3 linked regions of the Coturnix japonica genome follow. The protein of the gene in region 3 purifies or fractionates together with the protein of the main gene of each other region. This does not show direct contact. Links are inferred from orthologs where the notes say so. Each region holds a gene or a part of one and is shown on either strand. Other genes may lie near its edges.

Region 1 (4,914 bases), on a different chromosome or scaffold from region 3:
ATCACAGATCCCTCCTCTCTGCACAGAGATGTGCACCTCATTCTTTTCCCCGCCTGCTTCTAAGCACCCTCATTTCATGCCTCATAAGCCCCCGTACCAAACAGAACCCCTGAACTTGTAGGTACTGCAGCAGCAGGCAATGAACAGCAAGCAGGGAAGGAGGAGTGTTCAGGTCAGGACCTCCACACAGGCTCTCACAACCTTGATCCTCACATGAGTGTGATATCAACAAGGTCAGCCCAGCAGAAGGGTGGCTGGGAAGCATGAACACCTGAAGGGCTCTACCACACAGACTCCAGCAACAGCACCCATAGGTGCTTTAGGAAAGCATCCTCCTCCTTCCTTTTTCTTCCTCTTTGGGGAAGAGGGAGAAAAATCAGGCATTATTTTGAGAAATACGGGCTGTGGGTGTGATCCAAAGATGAGAAACGTACCATAATTGGTTCTGGTAAAGGCAGGTCTATCTGAGGGAACTCTTTGTTGCTGCTGCTGATAGGAGATCGATATGGCCAAGGGAAGAGAAGTGAAGCTTTGGCAGCTCATTAACAGAAGTTATCAGAGTTATGCTACAGAGCACAGGTTAGGTACTCCCTACCACATGTGGTGTGAGGAAGCAGATATTTAGCTCTCCAATGGATGAAATCTATGCAGACGTCTACATGGATGTATGAAACAAACACACAATGAAAGTAGCACTGCATACGCACACCTTACAAGGACTGCTTCCCTCGCTGCACGATATTGCAACAGGATGCATTTTGAAGGACCAGACATGATCAATCCAAGTGCTTCTCTTCTTTTTGAGGACTAGCAGATCAATAGCCACGTGCTCCAGGCAGGTCAAAGCAAAGAGACAGAGCACGACAGGTGCAGCCCTCCCAGAGGCTGGAGGAGCAGCACTGCAACTGCTGACCTGCTCTGCCACATCATCTAACCTTCCAAGGTCATTCCATGGCATCTCACAACCCCAACACACCCAGCTTTCACCAACACGCACCAGGATGGCCATGCAGCTGTGTTTGTAAACCTCTGTGGGAGACTCAGCTCTGGCATTTGCCCCCAAGGAAGGGGCTGATTGAGTTAATTGCCTCTTTAAACTTGGTCAAGTCATTGAAACACCTCTGACCAAGTTTTCCTACATGTAAAATTAGGGAGCTCTTTTACAAGCCACTTTCACAGCTCAGGACTGAAGATTATTCAAAGGTGTTATTACTCTGACATTATAGCTGAACCTGGGAATGAGATCTAAAGTCTTCCGCCTCCAAACTGCAGCCTGACCAGAACCCAAACTGGATGGCCTCTGCCAAAGCCAAACATCATCAAGAAGTTCCTTCAAGCAAGGAAAACCTGAATTGCACTCTCCCTCACAAACCACAACCAAGCAGCAGCCTCACTCCAGCTTCCAGCAGCCGGAATCTGAGTGAGCACAGCAAGAGCAGGCATCTCCCTCTCCAGGAGTTTTTCTAGGGCAAAGCAGAGGATCCACGATTGGAAGTCAGTGCTGGGAATCACACAGTGCTGCTGGATGTCAGAAAGGCTTCATTCAGGGAACTGTCAGACCTGGCACCTCTTACAGGCAGCAGCATCACAACAACGCCTTTGTGGAATCTCCCTGTGTTTAGAAAACAGATTTCCAACCTGGAGTCACTGTACATCTCAGGCTTTACTCCTGGGCAGCAGTAATATCGGTGAGATTCAAAGTAACCTGCACTCAATCACAGGAGCACAGTGCAACCAACCCCACCTAGCTCCACCAGAGCCATCGCTTTACTTGTGCCCTGTGGCAATCCACACGCATTTCCTCAGTAATCACCGAGGCACAGTGAGGAGTAGCAGAAGGGATGTTCCACCCACTCCTCGGTGCAACAGACTTTATTCACTACTACAGTAGTTGCGCAGGGGACACTCCTTAGCAGGCAGAGGCACAGCTCGCCTGCCACAGGGCAACGCTGAGTGGGTGCATTGCCAGGAAAGGTGCTTCTTAGGCATCGTGGGCTGGGCAGGCAGCGCCCTGAGCTGTAGGCACGCACCCAGCAGCCCCATCCAGACCCCATCACATTCAAGATGAGTCTTCTCTTCCCACAGACCCGAAGGCCAGGGAGGGCCTCGGCCTGTTGCAAAATGCATCCCTCTCCTTCCACTCCACCTCAAACACAGCCCCACAGCCTTCGAGCTCGCTGAGCCCCCGGGAAGCACTGCACGGCCAGCTGCCTCATGGAAGGAACACTGACATCCATTTTGGGAGCACGACGGCGCAGTCCTGCTGGCAAAAGTTTAGGACCTTGTCCCAAGTTCAGGCGAAGAGCACGGTGAATGAAATGAAGGCAGTGGACGTTAACGCAGACGAACGGATGGGCGACGTGCGAGAGCACGAAGAACCGCAGGAAGAATTTCCGAACCCGCCGTGCGGAGCGGGCACACCGGGGGCGGGGAGGGGGCAGCAGGCCAAGGAGAACGAGACCGCTTCAGCCCGCACCGGCTCCCCGCGCTGTTCCGGGCAGGCCCGGCCCGCAACCCCGCCGAGCCCAGCACAACCGCCCGGCCCCGAGGCGAGGGCAGCTCCGGACCGGGGGCTGCGGCGGGGTGCCCACCTGCGTGCCCTAAGCGGCCGTCCGCTGCCCGGCTCCAGCGCCCGGGGGAGGAGGAGGAGGAGGCGGCGGCGGCGAGGGCCGCGGGGCAGATGGCGGAGTCGCCTCCACCGCCGCCCCCCTCCTCCATCCCGCCGTGGCGCAGCGGTGCCTCGGCAGGAGGGCGCACGGGGGTCGGCGGAGCCGCTGCTCGGGGCAGCGCCGCGCCGGCGGGAGGGGAGAGAGCGGGGAGGAGGAGGAGGAGAACCCGGACATCATGGCTGCGGCAGCCCCCTCCCCTCCGGCCGAGGCTCGGCTCCCCCACCCCGCGCCCGCCCTTCCCCTCACTGCGGAGGGGAGCGGGGCAGCCCGGCGGGCCCCGTTACCTGATTCCGGGGACGCTTCGGAGCCGCCTCTAACATCGGCAAACACTAAAGAGAACTGACCCCGCCGCCGCGGCGGCCGCCGCCGGCCCCAACCACTCCGCCCTCCCCCCGGCGCTCCCGCAGCGGCCCCGTTGTGCCGCCGTCCCGCCTCCCTTCTCCCCGCTGCCCGCCGCCGGCCTCGCCCGCCGCTCCGCCATCGCCCCGCCGGCCCCCGGCGCCGGCGGCGTGTTCCCGGCGCCGCTCCGCGGCCTCGCTCCCCCCCGCTCCGGCAGCGCGAATGGCCCCGTCCGCATCCCTTCCCGGCCCGGCGAGGCCGCGCAGCGCCTCTAGCGGCAGCCGAGCCGCGGGGACCGGGGCGGCCGGCCCGTCGCCCCGCTTCCCTGCCGCGCCGCTCAGGCCGGTTCGGTCGGGCTCTGCGCGGCGGCTGCGGGGCTGCAGTGCCCGGGTAGGGACGAGGCGGAGCGGACCGGGCGCTGCCAGCACCGTGCAGGTGCGAGGCCACAGCGGCCCCGGTCACTGACTCGGCGGCGTCCGCGGCCCCGAGCGAGGAGCTCCGCTATCCGCGTGTGCTGCGGCCGAGCCGGCTCCGCCTGCGGCCGTACGAGAGCGACATAAGCACAGAGAGCGCGGCGCCGGCAAGTTGTCAGCGGGCGGACGGCTGAGCCGTGTTAGCGCTCCGGCGCTCGCCCTGCTACCCCCGCCGTCCTTTTAATTTCACGTTTTTTTCAGTTGCGCACAAGAGAGGAGAGAGCCCCGTGAAAAAGCAGCTTTTACTCCAGCTGCGTTATCGCCCGTCTAAGCGGCAGCTGTCTGTCACACGCCGAGCTGCTGCTGCTGCCTTTCACCTCCTCCGAGCGCAGCCCCGCAGCGCTTTACCTCTCCTTGCCTCCCGTTTTCCCCTGGCCCTGACCCGCCCCCTATCGGCAGCCCGGCCCGGCCCGACGCCGCACCGGGAGCTGTTGCCTGCTCGCTGCCCGGCGGTGAGGAACGACAGGAGAACAGCTTTTGGAATTGGGTTTTACTCATCTCGCTCTGCCTCCTCGCGTGTAACAACAGCCTCGCTATAAGGCGTGACCCCTCGCCTCTCCCAGGCAGGAGTGGTGAGAGGAAGGCTGAATGTAATCAACGCGACTGATGGCAGCATCTCAGTCCACGCGGATTACGTGATGTCCGATCAAACCACGGTTCCTTGCAGCAACGCACGTGGTGAAGAGGAGGGCAGCTGCTACAGCTGATTGCCCTTATGGAGCAGCAGCCACAGGCCCCGAAGCCCCAAGCAGCAGCAGTGTCAAAACCTTGGCTTCCCAGCCAGGAGCTGCCCAGAAAGGTTGCAAAGCCCTCTGCACTCACTGCTGCTGTTGGAGGGCTTCCACCCAACAGCAACACTATGGTTCTATTACCAAAGCATCATCCCTAGAGCCATCGTTCGGGGCTTTGCTTGTCACATAGGGCTGGGCAGGGAAAAACAAAATGGAAAGCACTTTGTAATGCCATTTCTCAGCAATGAAACCTTCCTTTAGCTGAGAAATAAGTAATAACTTTATTTTTCTAAGGCATGGGTGAAATCAATTTCTGACTATCTTGAAACATCAGCTGTATCAAATAGATATTCTTTGAAACCAGCTGGAAACCACACAGGGGGTTGGGGCACCAGCTGAGAGCAAAGAACATAATGGATGGATTGAGCCCAACCAGCTTCCCAGATGCTGGGGGTATAATCACACACTAATAGTGCACCCCAAACGCGTGTTGCATAAGCCTGTGTATTAGAGGCAGTGATTTACACACCAAACACACATACTGAGGCTTAGTGACAGGATGGTGTTGTGAGTATCCAGGCGACAGCGAGGTTTTATTCACGCCAACAGAACGCTACAGTGACATAATTTGTTTAAATACACTTTGGGGAATGCAGCATTTGCTAAGGCAGCTTTATACACACCCTTGATTCAGCTGTGGTA
Region 2 (4,930 bases), on a different chromosome or scaffold from region 3:
AGCTCTTGCAAAACAAAGCTGTTCTGCTCCAGCTGAGCTGAACCTTGGCTGTTGCTGGAACACCATAGTTATACTTGCTCTGCTTTTTATCTTTAGCTCCAACTGGTCTCTTTGCCCTCTGTCCAGAGAGATGAACCTCGATGCCCACCTGGTATAATAGAACTGCACCCCGTTATCAGCAGGACACACAGGGGTTTCAGTTCTGAGCCTGGGCAGGGTCGCTGCTTTGGAGATGTCAGTAGCAAAACACAGCAGCCAGCAACAAGGAACTGCAAAGCGTTTGTGTTTGAGTCCTGTTCAAATCCATGCTGCTATCACCAGCTCTCCCCTCCGCTCGATGCGCTGCGCTAAATAAGAGATCAGCTGGAGTTACCATGAGTCACCTACCTCCAACATTTAAAACTGGGGGGGGGAGAGGAAAGAAGATGTAAAAGATGTAACCACACAACTCCCACAACGCTGCCGAAAACGAGGGGAGCTGTGGCAAAGAGCCTCTGTGTGAATGTAACTAAGGGAACGAGACGAGGAGAGATCACTTGTAGCTGCGCGGGGCTGTGAGTAGGAGCAGTAACAGCTTTTATTAGCCCAGCTGATAGAGCTGAAGAAAACAAGCAGCAGAGCAGATAACAAACAAGCAGATAAGGAAGCTGTGCATAGGAGCCGCATTTTGCTTTCAGCACTTCTGCAAAGGACCAGGCTGCTTTCAGGTCCAGTGAAACAAAGCCTGAATTGGCCAAACCCACCTTTTGCCTCCCATATTTTCCCATATTTTCCAGCTTTGAGATCCAAGCTTTGAGTTTGCAAACGCTCTGGCAGTGAAGGTGACCCCCTGACAATGGCCGTTCCCCAGGCCCATGTTTAGGGATATCCTTGAAGATCCCCAGCTCGTGCTTATTTGTCATGTCCCCCCTCGTCCATCACTTTGATGAATCAGAAAGCAATTACCCACAGAATCATCCTCAATCCTGACACCGCAGCTCCAGACCTGCCAGAGCTGCGACAGCTTGAAAAATGCTTCAAAAACGGAGCCAACAAATGAATGACTCTCATTGCCGATGGGTTTTTTGGAGCCGTTTGAGATTCAGGCTGGAGTGTGGGAAACAACCACCCCCCATTTCCCCCCATTCACAGGGATGGACACGGTGCTGCCCCTCCCCCCCCCCCCCCCCCCCCCCCCCCACCGGGGGGGGCCCCCCCCCCCCCCCCCCCCCCCCCCCCCCCCCCCATATATACACACAGGGACACACAGCGGACGGGCAGCACGGGGCGGTGCGGGGCCAACAGCCGGGCCGGGCCCCGCCGGTACCGCCCCAGGGCTGAGGCCTATAGGGCTGACCGCAAGGGAAAAGGCCCCGCGGGACACGGCCGGGCCCGGGACCTGCTGGGATCTACCGGGATCCACCGGGATCTACCGGGATCTACCGGGACCCCGCACGCCGCCCCCATCCCATCCCATCCCACCCATTGCCGCCCCGCACCGCGGGTCTCTTACCCGCACTCAACTTGGCGGAGAAGGCCTCATTGCCCTCAATCAAGATGGCGGCGTCGGCGTCGCGTCACGTGGGAGGCAGGAAGGCGTGGCCGTGCGATGCGGGTGGCGCCATGTCGTGTGCGGGCGGCGCGGCCTAAAGGAGCGGGGGAGCGGAGCTGAGGCCTCCATTGGAGCCCCTCGGGTACAGCCGGGATGGATGGCTTATTTACTGCTTGAGTTCACACGGTGCAATAACATAACGGTGTCCACTAATTGAGTTGCGGTCTTCCAGCCTTGAATCAGCAGCCGTTCAAGTCCCCCCTCCCTGCTTGCAGCGATCCCGGCGACAAATGGCGGCGCCGCACAGCCCCCTACGCTGCCCTCAACAAACATGGCCGCCGCCGCTTCGCCCCACCAACACGTGCTGCACACGGCGCTCCCGCGGGAAGCCGCTCTCGCGAGAGCGACCGGGGCGGCCAAGATGGCGGACGGGGCGGGTAGCAACGGGGACGCCGCGGCGCTGCCGGTGGGGAAGGAGGCAGGTGAGGGACACGGGGCGGGGAGCGGAACCGAGGCGGCACCGGGGGAGGATGGGGCTGAGATCGGTGTGTGCTGTGTTGTTTGTGTTGTGTTGGCAGTGGAGCGGCTGATACGGGAGAACGGGCACATCTTCACCGAGGCGCAGTGCAAGGTGTGCAGCGCGCTGCTCATCTCCGAGTCACAGCGACTGGCGCATTACCAGGTGAGGGGGGGAACGGGGGGTATTAATGGGTAACAATGGGTATCTATGGGTATCAATAGGTAGCAATGGGTATTAATGGGTAACGATGGGTAACGGGGGGCAGCAATGGTATCAGTGGGCATCAATGTGTAGCAATGGGTATCAGTGGGTATTAATGGGTAGCAATGGGTATCAGTGAGTAGCAATGGGTATCAGTGAGTAGCAATGGGTATCAGTGGGTAGCAATGCATAACAATGGGTAGCAATAGGAATCAATGGGTAGCAGTGGGTATCAATGGGTAGCAATAGGTTTCAATGGGTATCTATGAGTAGCAATGGGTAGCAATGGGTATCAATTAGTAGCAGTGGGTAGCAATGGGTATCAATGGGTAGCAATAGGTTGCAATAGGTAGCAATGGGTAACGCTGTGGCTGCCCGCAGAGCAAGAAACACGCCAACAAGGTGCGGAGGTATCTCTCCATCCACGGCGAAGAGGAGCTGGCACCTGGGAAGAAGATGAAGCTGGACGCCAAGGTGAGAGGGGAGCCTGTGCTGTGTGGGTGTGGGCTCCAAGAACAGCTTTTGGGAAGGGCTCTGTGGTTAAGCCCTGTTGGTGAGTACGGCTCCTGTTGCCTTTCCCTCCTAAAGAACCACATGCTGCTTCTTTCTGAAGGGCCCTCCAAGAAGAGCAGAGAAGCAAGGAGCTGTCAGTGTTATCACAGCATGTATAACGTTTTGTTTCACTGACAGCATATCACAGGGTTCCTGCTTCACCACACTTCTCTTTAAGTCATGGGTTGTTGGGTTTTTTTTTTTGCACTTTTTTTAGTTTTATTTCATCTTCTTGGTCATTAAGGGGTTTATTCACCAGCCGTCTGCTCCATGACTCGTTTGGGAAATAGATTCTACTTCTGTCATTGCTTTGGTTGTAGTCCCTGACCCTCATAGATTTGTTGCATGGATGGAAGGGAGATGAAGGAGGTTGCCTTCATGCATTGTGAGGCCTAGCAGTGACTGCCACTGTCTGCCCAGCTGGCGTTTCTTTGCTGATGGCCCAGCTGATAGCGCTGTTTGTGCTCCTTCACTCACACCTTAGGGAGCAGGGGGCAGATTGGTTCATGCTGCCCTGCAGTTAGCCTTGTTCTGGGCTCAGAACCTGTAGTGTTTCACTAAAAGACTGAGGAAAAGAGAATCTGAAGTGGGAACACTTCTGCTGAAGGAGCGGAATGGAAGTCTTATTCAAACAACTTCACATTCAGCATCTCTGATGATTCAGTTCCTTGAATGCCTTAGAGTTCCTCGTTGTAACAAACTTTTCCTAACCTCAGCCGTTCTGTGTGCACAGGAGAGCAAGCAGGAAGGCACCAATGGGGAGGACAGGAACAAGTGTTGTCCCATCTGTAACATGACCTTTTCTTCTCCTGCTGTGGCCACATCTCACTACCTGGGGAAGACTCATGCCAAGAACTTGAAGCAACAGTCCCCTAAAGTGGAAGGTGTGTCTGTCCTGCAGTGCCTTTGTGTTGTGAAGCTCAAAGTAGGAAAATGCTGCACGTAATTACTTTCCATTGGGAGGTGCTATTGGACATATGTCATCCTTGTTACATCTGTGTGGTGTTGGCTGTGAAGCAGGGAAAGCCAGCAGCCTGCCTCCAGATCCATGGCCTTTATCAACAACGTGCTTGGTAGAATGGCTTGGCTAAATGCTCCTGCATGCAAGAAATGGGACAGAGCCCATTGCTGTGAGATTAATTTGTCAGGCCTGCTCAGCTACAGGGTTGTAGCTTCTGTGGTTCGGCGACTTCTGAGCTGCAAACAGCCGGAGGCTGGGAAGTGGGACTGTGTGCTTGCCCTGACCTCGTGCTTTGCCTCCGCTTTCTGCCACGGCCCATTCTCAAGGCAGGGTCTGGCTGTGAGGAGCCTTCAAGAAGGGAGGCTGCACACATAGTTCTGCTGTCTGCTGCTGCCCTGTGAGAGGAGCCTGCAGGTGTTTAGCTCCTCTCTGCTGTTTGTGCCCCCTGCTGGGAGTTGTCTTACCTTGTGCCTTCCAGTTCTGGAGCAATAAGGGAGGAGGTTGGAGCAACACGGATTTATCCAGAGGTCTTACATCCTCTGACTGGGTTTCTTTTTGGGGCTGTTTTATGGTTTTGGGGTTGAGTTGGGTTGGTTTCTTTGGTTGTTTAATGCATGTTTGGGGGAAATAAAATTACCTTTTTTCGTTTTTTTGTTTTTTGGGTTTTTTTTCTATTTAACTGACCAAGAGTTTGGATTCATCCTACAGAAGTGGTGCCCCCACAGAAACATCCCGCTACCCTCCCCACCTCTACTGTATCCTCTAATGAAGAGAACAAGGACATTACAGACCCAGACAAGTTCTGTAGCCTCTGCCACGCTACTTTCAACAACCCCCTTATGGCAAAACAACATTATGTAGGTAAGAAACACAGAAAGCAAGAAACCAAACACAAGCTGATGGCACGCTATGGCCGAACTCCTGACGCACCGACATCGTCCTTCCTCGGTGAGTTCACAGCAGACAGGTTGGTAAGGAGCTGGAGAGCAGGGTGGGAGAGCAGCACTGTGCATCTGACAGGACTCTGAATGAGGGGTTCTGTGTGGAGGGAGTAGGGGAGAATTGCTTGTCATGAGGATCTTGATGATGTCTCACAAGACTGATCTGGTTGGTATTGTAATGCCTTGGCAGCAGGAGAGGTTTTTAGACTGTAGCTGCTCGTGAG
Region 3 (4,766 bases):
TCTGAGCATCCATGTGTTTTTATTGTATCTAACTCCTGGTTATCATAACCCTTTACTATAAAGATTCAAAAAAAAAAAAAAAAAAAGCCATCTCCTTCCTGACCACAACCACATATATACTAGTTCTATTAGCATTTCTAAAAGCAAAACTACTAAAGAATGCATAAGGTGGTCATTGTTACAATACAAGGTTGAGAAGCCCTAGTACCTGTACACATCTCAGCATCGTAAAACTACACAAATGCTAAAGATTAGCTAAAATTGATTTCATGCATCCAGAAATGACACTAAACTCACCTTTCAGAGAGTACTGCAGGCACTACTTAGTGAAAACAAAAAATGCATCTGCTTGTACAGTTAGAAGAGTAGCATGGTTAGGATGGTACTTTGCAGGTGTTATAGTTGGAAAGATTATCATGGTGGAAAAGAAACAGTCAAGGAAGAAATGAATCAAGGAAGAAATGCTCACCAGTATCCAAGGATCTGGGCTCACGGTGGAAAACTCCATAACGGAGGGATCTCCAGAAAGAGATCATTCCCCTGTGGTAGTCAGCCCATAAATGGGGTCTAGGTCACACAGCTGAATTGCCTTCACCTGTGCTCCCACAGCTGTCCCAGTCCTTGACTCAGGTGATTAATCAATGGCTCAGGCCATGACTCAAGAGTTCCCATACACTGCTGTTCTATATTATACATTTGAAAGCAGTCCCTTTCTGCCACATTGAATCTCAAAAAAATAACAGAGATGCATCAGAGATGCAGAATGGTATTATCCAGTCACTTCATAGAATGGCCTGGGTTGGAAGGGACCTCAAGGGCCGGTAAGCTCTGAGCTGTCTAATACTAGACTCCAGTGTAACTCTCCACCGTCACTGCTGTAATAATATCAGCAACCAGTCCTGACCCTGGAACACTCAGCCACTGATCCTTCCCACCTCTGGTGTACAACCAATCATGCCATACTGCTCAGGCAGCAGTACAGTGAGTCAGACCAGGAAACTCAAGAGTGACTGTGCTCAATCAGCTTGGGGTGGAGCCATCTTTTTTTATATAAGCTGGTATGGTACTGTGTGTTAGATTTGCAATGATAAAAGTGTTGATGAAAAAGCAGCTTTTGCTGAGCAGTGTTTGCAGTGTATCAAAATCTTTTCAGCTTCTCACTCTGCCCTGCCAGCACAGAAGCTGGGGTGCACAAGGAGTTGGGAGGGGACAAATGAATTGGATTTGAATTTATACATACATTGTATTAGTCCCATGCAATCCCTTTGAAGTATGAATTGCATGGGAGGGGAAAAAAAAGATAGTAGAGCAAGGCTTGAGAGACAGATAATTTGATCAGGGATTACAGTCAACTCTGAGAATAAGTCAGCACATAGAGTGCAGGCTGGCAACAGGAGACCACCATTTAAAAGAAACATCCTGATTATTAGTATAAGATCTGTCTTCATGCAAACTAGCAAATAAAGAGCAGGAGATATTATAGACATTGGGTGTCTGTGATCTGTGGTAAGGGAAAGACAAGCAAGACATCAGACATTGCATTTGTGTTAAAACAATAAACAACTCCACATATTCCATCCTCTGTGTTTGTCTCTAGAAACAAAAGCAAAACAGTTTAAGACCCTTCTCTTGTAACAGATGTTCAAAAATGCCACACAAAAACACGTTGGTAACCAAACAATAAGCGTAGACCCAACCTTTACTCTTAGAAATTAACAATATAAATCACCAAATTACTTTGTAAAACTCAATAAAAACCAAAGCGCTTAAATTACCACATATCACAAACCACCGTCTGCAATCCACCCACCCCCTCAGATAATTCATGACAAAAAAAGCATCAATGCAATACGACCACCAGCAACAAGTGCTCCCAAAAGCAGCCATGAGCTCTAAGTTTCCCTTAGGCCCTATGTGCCCAGTGACACCTCCTGCACCCACCCATCCGTGTTTGCAGGCAGCTCTCTGCCACACTTCCAAGCAAATCAACTTCTGTTCAACCTCGTGCTGATGTTCATTGGCATGCGTGGTGAACTTACTCGGGGTCATGAGGTAGGCCTTTCATTTCCACCTCGACGTAATCGAGCGTGGCATTCCTCTTCTGGCAGTAGTTGTTGACCAAGCTCATATACTTTCGGTCCATCTCAATGCAATATCTGAGCACCAAAAGATTCTGTGGAGAAATATTCAGGGCCGTGCCTGAGTCTCACACACTGCTACAGAGACAGCCCCGTTCTGCCGGAGTAGCACTGTGACAAGGGACAGAACGGCAACTAACTCTGATTTCTCATTCAGGTCGTTGGCTTGCATCTCTATTCCAAACCTGCTGAGATTGAGATTACAGATTCAGAAAGTTTAGGAGAGTGGTTAGGCCCTGGAACAGGCTGCCCAGGGAGGTTGTGGATGCCCCGTCCTTGGAGGTGTTCAAGGCCAGGTTGGACGGGGCCCTGGGCAACCTGATCTAGTAAATGTGTATGTTTGGTGGCCCTGCCAGGCAGGGGGTTGGAACTACATGATCCTTGAGGTCCCTTCCAACCCGGGTCATTCTGTGATTCTGTGAAAGCAGAATGGCGCGTTTAGTGATGAAGGACGATTTCTCAGCAGATTTCTGCAGGAGGTTGAATCACTGCGTGGAATCTGAGAGAAATCAGTAACGTTTCTCCATAAAGAATTAAAACCGCTTCCTTCAGAGCAGAACCGAGGCACGGCAGCCCGCACACTCTCAGGCTACGAGGCTGTCAGTCTCCGTTACACACACGATGGAAACAGGAAGAGAAAAACAAACACTTACAGAACAAAACAGCAGATGAATTGGGAAGTCCGCCTCAGCGACAGTTACTTCTTAACGGGAACACTCCGTGCAGGCCGATCCAGCCCCGCTCCCCACGGCCGCCGTTACCTCCGCTGTCGCCGCAGCTTCGTCCCGCACCGCCCGAGGATCCGCGCAGCGCCCTGCGGACGGAGCCCCGCCCCCGTTTCCCACAGCATCGGGGCACCGGCACGAAACGAAAGCGAAAGGCGGACGGGGAGCGGGGCTGGGCGGCTGCGACTCATTCACAGCGCCCTGCCGTGGCGGACCGCGCTGCCTGCAGCGCTACGGACCGCTCAGCTTACAAGCGCTCCGCCTTACATCTGCGGGCACAGGCAGCTCGGCTCAGGCTCGGTGCACGGAACCCTACGGCCGTTTTTGCTGAGAGAGCGGAGGGCCCGTTTGGCAGCCATTCGTGCCCTGACTCTGAGTTACGTAACTCAAGGAGTTTATTTATTAGCTTTAAAATAAAGGCGCTAGAGGCCCGGCTTCGCTCCCGGCCCCGCCCCGCGGAACTCCCTTCCCACTGCGGCCCCTCCCAGCGCCGGGGCGGACACAGGGTTTGGTGTTGGCTCGGCTGTGTGCCACGCACGGCTCTACGCGCTGCGACCATGGGGGTGCACGGCGTCAAGGCGGTGTTCTTCGACCTGGACAACACGCTGGTGGACACGGCGGCGGCCGGGCGCTGCGCCATCGAGGAGGTACGCGGGGGTGGCAGCGAGAGGGAGCGGGGCGGGGCAGAGCGGCGGTGTGCGGACGGGCCGTGCTGTGCCGTGCCGTGCCGTGCCGTGCTGTGCTGTGCTGTGCTGTGCTGTGCTGTGTGTTGCAGGTGGTGAACGCGCTCCGCTCCAAGCACCACTACGGGGAGGGGGAGGCCCGCGGGATCTGCGACAAAGTGCAGGAGAAGCTTCTCAAGGAGTGCCACGACCCCGCCAAGATGTGCATCACCGACCTGCGCATCTCGCACTGGGAGGAGGCGATCCGGGAGACCGTCGGCGGTGAAGCCAACCGCAGCCTGGCCGCAGAGTGCTACTTCTTGTGGAAGGCCACCCGGCTGCGGCACCTGACGCTGCCCGAGGACACGCGGGACATGCTGACCGAGCTGCGCAAAGCCGTCCGCCTGCTGCTCCTCACCAACGGAGACCGGCAGACGCAGCGAGAGAAGATCGAGGCCTGTGCCTGCCAGCCCTACTTCGACGCCATCGTGGTGGGAGGCGAGCAGAAGGAGGAGAAGCCCGCGCCGTCCATCTTTCACTACTGCTGCGAGCTGCTGGGCGTGCAGCCGGCAGAGTGCGTCATGGTGGGGGACTCTCTCGACACAGACATCCAGGGAGGCCTGAACGCCGGCCTGAGAGCCACCGTGTGGTTAAACAAGTCGATGGCGGCCCCGGCTGATGCCTCCCCGGTGCCTCATTATGTCATTGCCTCCGTTCTGGACCTGCCGGCCGTGCTGCAGAAGATAGAGCACAAGGTGAACGCCAAGTTAGGAACTGACCGTGCTGCGGGTGGGACGGAGGCCCCTTGAGGGCTGCAGGGAGCTGCTGCCTGTGCTCTTGATACAGATCTGACCCTAGGATTTTCAACTTGTGTATGTTATGTTTTAAGCAGCAGGTGGAGCGTGGTTGTCAATGAAACGGGGTAAAAACAGAGTATTGGATCAATATCATCATAGTATCATAGTCTCGTGCGGGTTGGAAGGGACCTTAGAGAAAGGATATAAAGAATATATAAGGAATATAAAAGATGCAAGCACAGTTTGTGTGCTGGAACAGTAGTTCCAGCCTGTATCTGGAAATTACTTGGACTGACTGGCTAAAGCATGTTTGTCTCTGATGGAAGTCCCTTGTTTCTACACTGGAAAAGAAAATCAGAATGTTTTGGTCATTCAGTGGCAGTTATTTGCTTTGCTGAGCTGTAAGTTCAGCAGAGAGCTTCAGTTCAGACCTTGCTGGCAGCA

The links.
Region 1: the proteins of EIF2AK2 (region 3) and STAU2 purify together in Homo sapiens (affinity purification with mass spectrometry; 3 studies listed by BioGRID and IntAct, with this or other methods). This does not show direct contact. The link is inferred for Coturnix japonica from reciprocal best matches to the Homo sapiens genes EIF2AK2 and STAU2.
Region 2: the proteins of EIF2AK2 (region 3) and ZNF346 purify together in Homo sapiens (affinity purification with mass spectrometry; 3 studies listed by BioGRID and IntAct, with this or other methods). This does not show direct contact. The link is inferred for Coturnix japonica from reciprocal best matches to the Homo sapiens genes EIF2AK2 and ZNF346.

The regions. Positions count from the first base shown.
Region 1 is NC_029517.1:106,907,725-106,912,638, forward strand, and holds the start of STAU2 (double-stranded RNA-binding protein Staufen homolog 2), read right to left. Parts: upstream 3,084-4,914; 5' UTR 2,954-3,083; intron 1-2,953. Other genes in the region: UBE2W (ubiquitin-conjugating enzyme E2 W), read right to left, coding at 4,903-4,914. UniProt on the Homo sapiens protein: RNA-binding protein required for the microtubule-dependent transport of neuronal RNA from the cell body to the dendrite.
Region 2 is NC_029528.1:12,090,123-12,095,052, reverse strand, and holds the start of ZNF346 (zinc finger protein 346), read left to right. Parts: upstream 1-1,847; 5' UTR 1,848-1,862; coding exon 1,863-2,013; intron 2,014-2,109; coding exon 2,110-2,213; intron 2,214-2,633; coding exon 2,634-2,726; intron 2,727-3,537; coding exon 3,538-3,688; intron 3,689-4,473; coding exon 4,474-4,713; intron 4,714-4,930.
Region 3 is NC_029518.1:28,765,288-28,770,053, reverse strand, and holds the start of EIF2AK2 (interferon-induced, double-stranded RNA-activated protein kinase), read right to left. Parts: upstream 2,939-4,766; 5' UTR 2,792-2,938; intron 2,174-2,791; 5' UTR 2,144-2,173; coding exon 2,040-2,143; intron 1,594-2,039; exon of another isoform or gene 470-1,593; intron 453-469; exon of another isoform or gene 298-452; intron 1-297. Other genes in the region: NANP (N-acylneuraminate-9-phosphatase), read left to right, coding at 3,421-3,510, 3,639-4,334.